Linked DNA regions of Sus scrofa. The protein of the gene in region 2 binds, or shares a complex with, the protein of the main gene of each other region. Links are inferred from orthologs where the notes say so. Each region holds a gene or a part of one and is shown on either strand. Other genes may lie near its edges.

Region 1 (4,392 bases), on a different chromosome or scaffold from region 2:
AGCCTCAAAGATAATTAACCTCACAGTTCCACCGAGTTAAAAAGCATGCAAACACAATTTTAAAAAAACTTAGAGGAGCTTAAGGAGAAAGACAACCATAAAGTAATGTGGTATCCTGAACTGAATGTTGGAACAGAAACAGATAAAAATGAAGAAAATCTGAATAAATTAGAGACTTTACTTAATAATGCATCAATATTGGTCCATTAATTGTAACAAATGTGCCATACTAATGAAAGATGTTAATAATAAGGGAAATTGGGTGGGACTCTATGTGAACTCTCTGCATTATCTTAATTTTTATGTAAATCTAAAACTGTTCTAACAAAATTGAGTTTACTTTTAAAAAAATCTAAGATGGCTTCAGGAATTGGCAGGAAGGGGATTTAGTAAAGACTTAAAGAAGTTAAGAAATGAGAAGCTATAAAACTCTGCAATGAGAATTAGAAGTAAATACCCAAGAAATTCAAAGGAAACCTGCAGATACTTAAGTTATGACTATTCATACTAAAATTTTCCTAGGATGGAGATTTTTCATGCAAACTAAATATCTCTGCATCACAACATCAGGCAGGCAAAAACATCCCTAGAGTGCACAATAAGCACTTATCCTATCAATAATGACCAATAGCTATATTTTATGAATGGCACTGCCCTAAAATTGTTATAATACCTGGACAAGGATCAACCTCACAGGTCTCAAGTTACTTAAAGAAACAAATTCAGAAAAAATAAACAAAGAGGAAACTTGGTAAGACAACAAGGAGAAAAAAATTATGTATGAAAGGAGAAAAATGATTTCTCAGGTCTAATTGGAAGCAATTTTGCAACTATTATTAACCTACTTTAATGTCACACAAATTAGTGTAAATAGTTCAAAGTAGTAACAAAAGCCTTGAATTAACATCAGTTATCTTCTTCCCAATCAAAAGAAATAAATGTCTTCTATAGCCTAACCTAAAACACCTAACAGATAACAATGTCTAATGACTTCGTAAGAACTAATCTCTCACTGTCTCAATTTTAAAGACAGCCAGGAAAAGTGAGAGAAAAACAATGAAGGGTGATCACCTCTAAACTGCAGAGTATGAAGTGTGTATAACACAGCATAAAATTGGAATTACCACAAGAAGTAATTTTAGAGACAGCAGCCATCACAAAATAAGGACCTTTATCTAACACAAAGTAAGGACCTTTATCTAACACAAAGTACAATGACGGCAGAAGCATGGTCAGGTAAACAAATGATTTTACTCATCAGATACAGTGGAATATTAACCATAAAAGAAGCATTTCGCCAAAATGGTATCATGTATTTATCTAACTTAGATAACCAGATGAAAAACCCATCTCTTCTCTCTCTCTTACTCCCTGACCCCAAAGGAAATCCTACAAAACAAAGATGTTCGTTATCCTAAAGCCTTCTCTCACAGGAATCCTCAATCTATCATTGGAAAATACTCAAAAAGAAATGGAATAATTAGCATTTCCCCAGTAATTCCTGTTTGCTCCACTGTGAGGAGAATCAGACCCCGCTTCGTGTTAAAACAGAAAAAGGAGAGGTGAGATGTGAAAAATTCCAAGTAAAACGATCATGACATAGCACCTGGCAGAGACTGGAAAAGCATCCACGCGGCCAAAAGGATCGTCAAGGATGAAAGTCAGGAGAAGAAAACGAGGTTTTCCAACAAGCCGCAGCCTAGCCCATCGGGTAAAAATCGCCACTGCCGCCGCCCCTCCCTCACTCCCCCACCACTCCATCCTCAAGTCGCCTCCAAGGCCGACGTGGACCCTCTGGAACCCAGGCCAACCCCCCACCCAGGTGAAAACAATCCAAGAATTTTCTAGGACTCCCCACTTTCCACCTTCCAGAAGATCTGCACTTCTCAGGGCCAAGCCTCTGGGGAAAACAACGCCCAGATCCCCCCTCCCGGCGCGAGGTTCCAAAGAGCCGGGTCCCGCCGGTGGGCCTCGCAGGGCTGACCGACCGGGATCAGAGCGAGGAACAAGGGTGGGGCTCAAGGAAGGGAGCGGGAGCTGGCGAGACGACGGAGACCGGAGGAAGAAAGGGATGGACAGGAGGCTGGGCGGGGTGAGGACTGGGGAGGGCACGTCGACAGGGGAGGGCCGGGCTGCGGGGAGAGGAGCCGGCGGAGTCGGGGCCAGAAGGGGCAAAATCCGCCCGACGGATCGCGGCGAGGAAGCACGGGGGGCGACGAGGGGGCGGCCGACGCGGGGCCGGGGCAGGGGGCGGAGGGCGAACGCGAGGGCCGCAGCAGCCTCCGCGGCCGAAGGGCCGCACTGGGGGCGGTGCGGGGAAGCCGCGGCCAGCTGCCAGGAGTGGGGGAGCCGCGCACTCACCGCTCTGCTCCCCCAGGAACACCAGCTTGAATTTCCTCAGCGGATTCCCGAAGTCTCCGCCCGCGGACATGATGGAGCCGGAGGAGCTGCGCCGCCTCAGCCCAAAGACCTCCCGGACCGACGCGGCTCCAAGCAGTGGACGGAGAGGCTAGAGAATGGGCGGGCGCCCAGCTCTCTCGGCCGCTGCAGGGCCCGGAGCGGAGCAAGACCGGAGGGCAGGGCCCCTCGACACAGACAGGCAGCCGTCGCCGCCGCCTCCCCTCAGAGCCGCCTAGCACCGAGCGAGGCCCGAGGCTGGGAAGGGAACGAAGGCGGTGTCGGAAGCAGCCAGGGGAGTGCTCAGGGGTCCGAAGGCCAGAGCGGCTCCCTTCTCAGCACCCGGCTCGGAGGCTGGGGTGAGGGCGGAGGAGCCGGAGCCGCAGACGCGCCTGGGACCTCTCACACGCAGCGCTTCAGCGCCTCAGCTGCCGCCGCCGCAGCCCAACCTGCTGAGTGCGCGAGCCTGTGGCGCGGCGCGGGGCGAGCCCGGGCACGAGCCTGCCGCCCCGCCAGCCCCAGCGTGCGTGCGTGCGTGCGTGCGCGTGCGCGCCACAGACGGCGTCTTCCTGGTTTAGCCTGCTTTCCCGGCTCCGCGGCAGCGGAGACCGGGGGTGGTTAGGTGTACGCTCGCGTCGGGAGAAGCGGGGAGGTGGGGTGGAGCCTGGAGGAACCCAAAGGGTGGAGTAAGGAGCGCTTTCGTCACTTATACGATGAGCCAATCGGAAGAGGTCAAGGGCGGGCAAGGATGGGAATGAGGTGGCGGCGCGAGAGCGCGCTCGCTGCCCTCGAGCGGTGGAAAGTGTCTCACAGTGGCGGCCATGTGTAGTGTGGCGCGTCCGAGCCTGAGGGGAGGAGAACAGAGAGAAGCGGGGTGGAGGCGGGGCCGGCGTGGAGGTGGAATTGACCCCTACAAGAGCGGATGAAGTCAGAGAGTACTAAGGTGTTTAGAAGGTTCCTAGTTCTGAGCCTTTAGCCCTGCCTCAGATTCCTGCGAGCCCCACTTCACCTATGCCCCCACCTTCTCCAACCTCTTCTTATAATTCCTGCCATGATACCCTCCTAGGTACATTCTCCACTCCTGCTCCCAGGAGTTTCATAACTACCAGAAGCAGGGCCTCCACGTTTTTACAGATGAGGAAACTGAAGCTCGTAGGAAGGAAATGACTTACAAAACCCACAGAACAGTAAAATTGAAGCCAGGTTTTGTCTTTTTCCCCCATTGAACTTCTGCAACCTGCTAGTTGATAAGACCATCCTTGGCCTGATGTGGCTTGGCCTTCTGTTAGCAACCTCTCTTCCTCAGATGGGCCAGCCCAGGTGAGCCCACCTTCTACTGTGATCGAAAAGGATTTAGATATCATGTAAACATAGGGTAAAACTGAGGCTCAGGTAGGAAAACAAGTTTGCAAAAAGGTCACACAACAAATTCGTGGTAGAGCATGCCCCTGATGAAGTGGGCTTTTTTTTTTTTTAACAGCCACACCTGTGGCGTATGGAAGTTCCTGGGCTAGGGGTCGAATTGGAGCTGTAAATTCAGGCCCATGCCACAGCTTCAGCCACACCAGATCCTAGTTGCTTCTGAGATCTACCCTGGAGGTTTCCACTTTGTAGGATCCGTAACCCATTGAGCAAGGCCAGAGATCAAACCCGAATCCTCACAGAGGCAAGGCAGGGTACTTAACCCACTAAGTCACAGCAGGAATTCCTGAAGTAGATATTGTATTTATTTATTGGGGTTTTTTTTGTTTTTTGTTTTTGTTTTTGTTTTTTTTGGCTTTTTAGCGCCATACCCGTGGCATGTGGAGGTTACCAGGCTAAGGATCAAATCAAGAGCTACAGCAGCTGGCCTGCGCCACAGCCACAGCAACACGGGATCCAAGTTGAGTCTGCAGCCTACACCACAGCTCATGCCAACGTCAGATACTTACCCCACTGAGTGAGGCCAGGGATTGAACCCAAGTCCTCATGGGTACTAGTCAGGTTTGTTACTGT
Region 2 (3,811 bases):
ATATAATTCTGACCAAGATATTTAACCCCCCCCAATCATTTAACCTTATGTAAAATCAAGATTCTAAAATCAAAATGATCAATGTGATAAAGTGTGATGTGAACACGTTTAATATTTTTCAAAAATTTGCACTTGAGCTGAAATGCTTAAAATTTACTTCTGAAATCAAAGTGTAAAAATAGTGATATATACATTTTCTAGAGTCTATGACTAGAATAATTTAAATCAATAAAATTCAAATTAATAGTACCTTTAATGATACCAACTCTGCTCTCAAGTCTTGTAATTCAGATTCTTTTTCTTCTAGCAATGGCTTTAGGTGTTCAAGTTCCTTTATAAAAGATTTTTCTTTTTCATTATGGTTTTCATTTCTGCTACATAATTTTTGAGAGACTTCTTCCACTTGAATTAAGAGATTCTGATTTTCAAGCCTTGTTTGTTCATTAGCATTCTTCATTTCTAGAAGATCATGCTCTAGGGCCTCTTTTTTTGAGAGGGTTTCTTCTAACTCTTTCCTCAAGGTAACTTTCTCTTGCTCATGATCTCTCAGTGAAGACCTAAGTTTCTCACACTGGATTTCATTCTCTTCTTGAAGGAACTTAATCTCTTTTTCTAACTCTGCTACCCTTGCATTGTACTGAAAAAACAAGCTGTGTTTTTCTTCATTTATTTTAGCTAAGGATTCACTTACAGCTTGCAGGACATTTACAATATCTTGATCTTCACTTTCTTCTGAAACTTTTGACTCCATTTGTTTAAGAAAATTACACAATTGGGTTTTGACAAGTAACTTCTGATCCTGTTCACTGTCAAACAGTTTATTTAAATGATCTCTTTCTTCAAGTGCTAACTGAAGTTTCTTTTCTAATTCAGAAAGCTGTTCCTTAAGCAAAAACTCTCCTTCTTTTTGTGACAGAAGAGCTTCTAAATCCCTGCTCAACTGGTCCTTTTCTGAGGTCAGCCTACTGTTTTCCTCGTAAAGAGACTGTGCTTCAGATGACATTGCTTCCTGCTCTCCAGACAGGGTCTGCAACTGAGCCAGAAGCTTTTCTAGTTGTTGGTTATTTTGATCCTTTTCTTTTAAAGTTTCCTCTAGTCCTGCTGTTAATTCATTTACTTTTTGTTCTAGTTCACTGTTGTACCGGGTGGTCTGCTCTACTTTTTCCCTAAGTTCTACAATCAGTTTATTTTCCCTTTCACATTTTTTATGGAGATCATTCATCTCTTCATGAGAACTCTTCATTTTACTTATGAGATCATCTTTTTCCTCAATAAGATGACTTATCTTTGCTTCCAATTCTTGTGCCATGGTATCTCTCTGACTGAGACTAACTAAATATTCTTCATTCTTTTCTTGAAGGGTCTTTATGGTATTTTCAAGTTCTGGTACAAATTCTTGCTGTGATAATAACTTTTCATTTTCTGTCTGGAGGCGATTCACAGTTTCAAGAAGAGCATCTTTTTCATTAAATGCAGTTCTTAGCTTCTGCTGAAGTTCATTAACATCAGATGCTTGCTGCTGCTTCATTGATTCAAACTCTTGACTTATTTTTCCAGCAGATTCCCCCAATTCTGTCTGTAAAATTTCCATAATCTCCCGTAAACTCTCATAATTTAAAATTGCTTCTTGCTTTTCTTGTTGTAGATTTTCACACTGTTCCTTAAGACCTTGTATTTCAAACATTAATGTTAATTTTTCTTTTTCTGAACCTGACAAAAATGCCTCATTTAGTTCTGATATTTCTTTTTGATGTTGTTCCTTTAGACTTTTTACTTCTTTGTTATGTTGTTCTACGATACAGCGAAACTGTTTATCTGAATCTTCTAGTTCACATTTTAATTTTTCGATTACACATCCCTGTTCTTCTTTAGCTAGTAATAATTCATTAATTTTAAATTCTAAATCTTCCCGTTCATGAAAAAATTCATCCTTTATGTGTTGAGCATCAATTTCAAGTTTTAATTTAAGATTATTCATGTAAGTTAACTCATCTTTTAAGATAGTATGTTGAGACTCCAATTCTTTTAAGGCATCTTCTAAGTGTTTCACTTTTTCATTTTCTCCTTGTTCTACAAGAGTATTTTCTTTTAAGAGCAAAGAACACATCTGATTTTCCTGGTTTGCATTTGAGGTTTTCCCTAGGTTTTCTAATTCACATTCATATTTCTGCTGAATGTTCTTCTCCTCTCCCTCACATTGCCTGACTAAATTCTCCTTTAGCTGATTTAAATTATTTACTTCTGCTTCATGTTCTATAGCAGATGCTTCAATCTGGCACATCAATTCTTTCACCTCTTCTTGGTGTGTAGATTTCAACCGTAAAAGTTCTTCTTGCAAACTATTAATATCTTTTTGGTACTGCTGAGAATTAGCCTCAATGACTCCTTGGAGATGAGTGATTTCTTGCTCCTTTTCATTTGTGGCAGCTTCTAACTGCTGTTGTAGATATAAAATTTGCTCCTCAAAGGCTGGCTTGATTTTCTGAATCTCTTCTTGCAGTTTTTTAACAATTTCTTCAGAATCATTGTGAAATTTAAGTTGTTTTGAAAGCTCTAATTGTTTTTTGGCTGCTTCTTCCAGTTCCTTTTGCCAACCAGCTTTATCGTTACTATGTTTGGAATGTACTGCCATTAATTCATTTTTCAAATTTTCCATTTCCTTCATATAGTTTCTTTGTGATTGTTCAAACTCCTTGTGCATATCTTCCAACTTAGTTACAGAATCCTATAAAAATAAACACACAAAAATTACTTGAGAGAAAGACACCACTCAGGGAAAATATACGATGCAGGTTCATAAAAAAGGAAATAACCAGAAATGTACATAGAGAAATATGACACTGAGATTCCAAGAATTCTGCTTAGGCTCTGACTACCTTAAGTATGATAATATAATTGGTATTACTAAGTATGTTACTCAAAGCAGTAACTAAAAGCTAGGAAATCTCTGAATTTCATTTTCTTTTAAATGGCAATAAATTATGTAAGCTGTATTAAATCATAAGGCTTTAACAAATATCTCCTGAATGATTAATAAAGCTTTTGGGAGAAAAATCAACCCAGACCCAAGAAGCAACTGAACAGATACCAGCATTTAGAGTATGTGTGAGAATCAACTTATTTAAATAGGTACTTTTTCATAAAATAGGTATTTTCCCCCATTTTTATTAAAGAATATTATAGCTAGAAAGGAGATTAAACAACGAACAAGTAAATGTCAGCTCTATCTCTGTGTAGTTGAGCTATTTCAGCTATTTTTTTTTTTTAAATATCAATCGGTTTCCTTGTTTGTAAACAGTTAAAATCAGATAGATGCCTTTTAAAGTCTTGGCTCCAAAACTCATGATTATACTACGAAATAAAAAACAAAAAAATTAAAATCTTTCCTTACCTCAACCTCTTGCTTCATTTTAATATTTTCCTTCTTCAGAGAAACACACTGTTGCTCAGTCTCTGCTTTTTCCAGAAGAATAGCATCCAGACGTTCTGTCAATGCCTGTTTTGGAACAGGTTAAAAATGGTGCATTGACTTTACTCATAATTATCTCATCTTTTCCAAACCATGCTAAGGTAAGAATATTTAAAAAGCTATACTTTGCAGCTGGATAGCTGTGATTCAACACTATGTTCTAAGGCATTTCCTGTAGTGGAGTGATTGGTCTGCAATAAGAAGTCACCCTTTTCCACTGAAAGGGAAGTGGGTGGTCACCCACGAGACAAGCTAAAATTTGTTAGAAGTCCTTGGTGGGTAACTTCAGCTTTGCGTTTTCCTGACAGGAACTTGGAGATGCTCCCACTCTGATCCCCCAGA

The links.
Region 1: the proteins of GCC2 (region 2) and RAB6A are in contact, whole or in part, in a crystal structure (PDB 3BBP), measured with the Homo sapiens proteins. The link is inferred for Sus scrofa from reciprocal best matches to the Homo sapiens genes GCC2 and RAB6A. Residues at the interface, in NP_852118.2 of Homo sapiens: Thr1585, Ile1588, Leu1589, Glu1591, Gln1592, Leu1595, Leu1596, Glu1599, Arg1602; in NP_942599.1 of Homo sapiens: Lys15, Ile46, Gly47, Ile48, Trp67, Arg74, Phe75, Ser77, Leu78, Ser81, Tyr82, Asp85.

The regions. Positions count from the first base shown.
Region 1 is NC_010451.4:8,196,158-8,200,549, forward strand, and holds the start of RAB6A (ras-related protein Rab-6A), read right to left. Parts: upstream 3,056-4,392; 5' UTR 2,432-3,055; coding exon 2,362-2,431; intron 2,066-2,361; exon of another isoform or gene 1,629-2,065; coding exon of another isoform or gene 1,607-1,628; intron 1-1,606. UniProt on the Homo sapiens protein: The small GTPases Rab are key regulators of intracellular membrane trafficking, from the formation of transport vesicles to their fusion with membranes.
Region 2 is NC_010445.4:47,748,848-47,752,658, forward strand, and holds part of GCC2 (GRIP and coiled-coil domain-containing protein 2), read right to left. Parts: intron 3,497-3,811; coding exon 3,392-3,496; intron 2,726-3,391; coding exon 251-2,725; intron 1-250. UniProt on the Homo sapiens protein: Golgin which probably tethers transport vesicles to the trans-Golgi network (TGN) and regulates vesicular transport between the endosomes and the Golgi.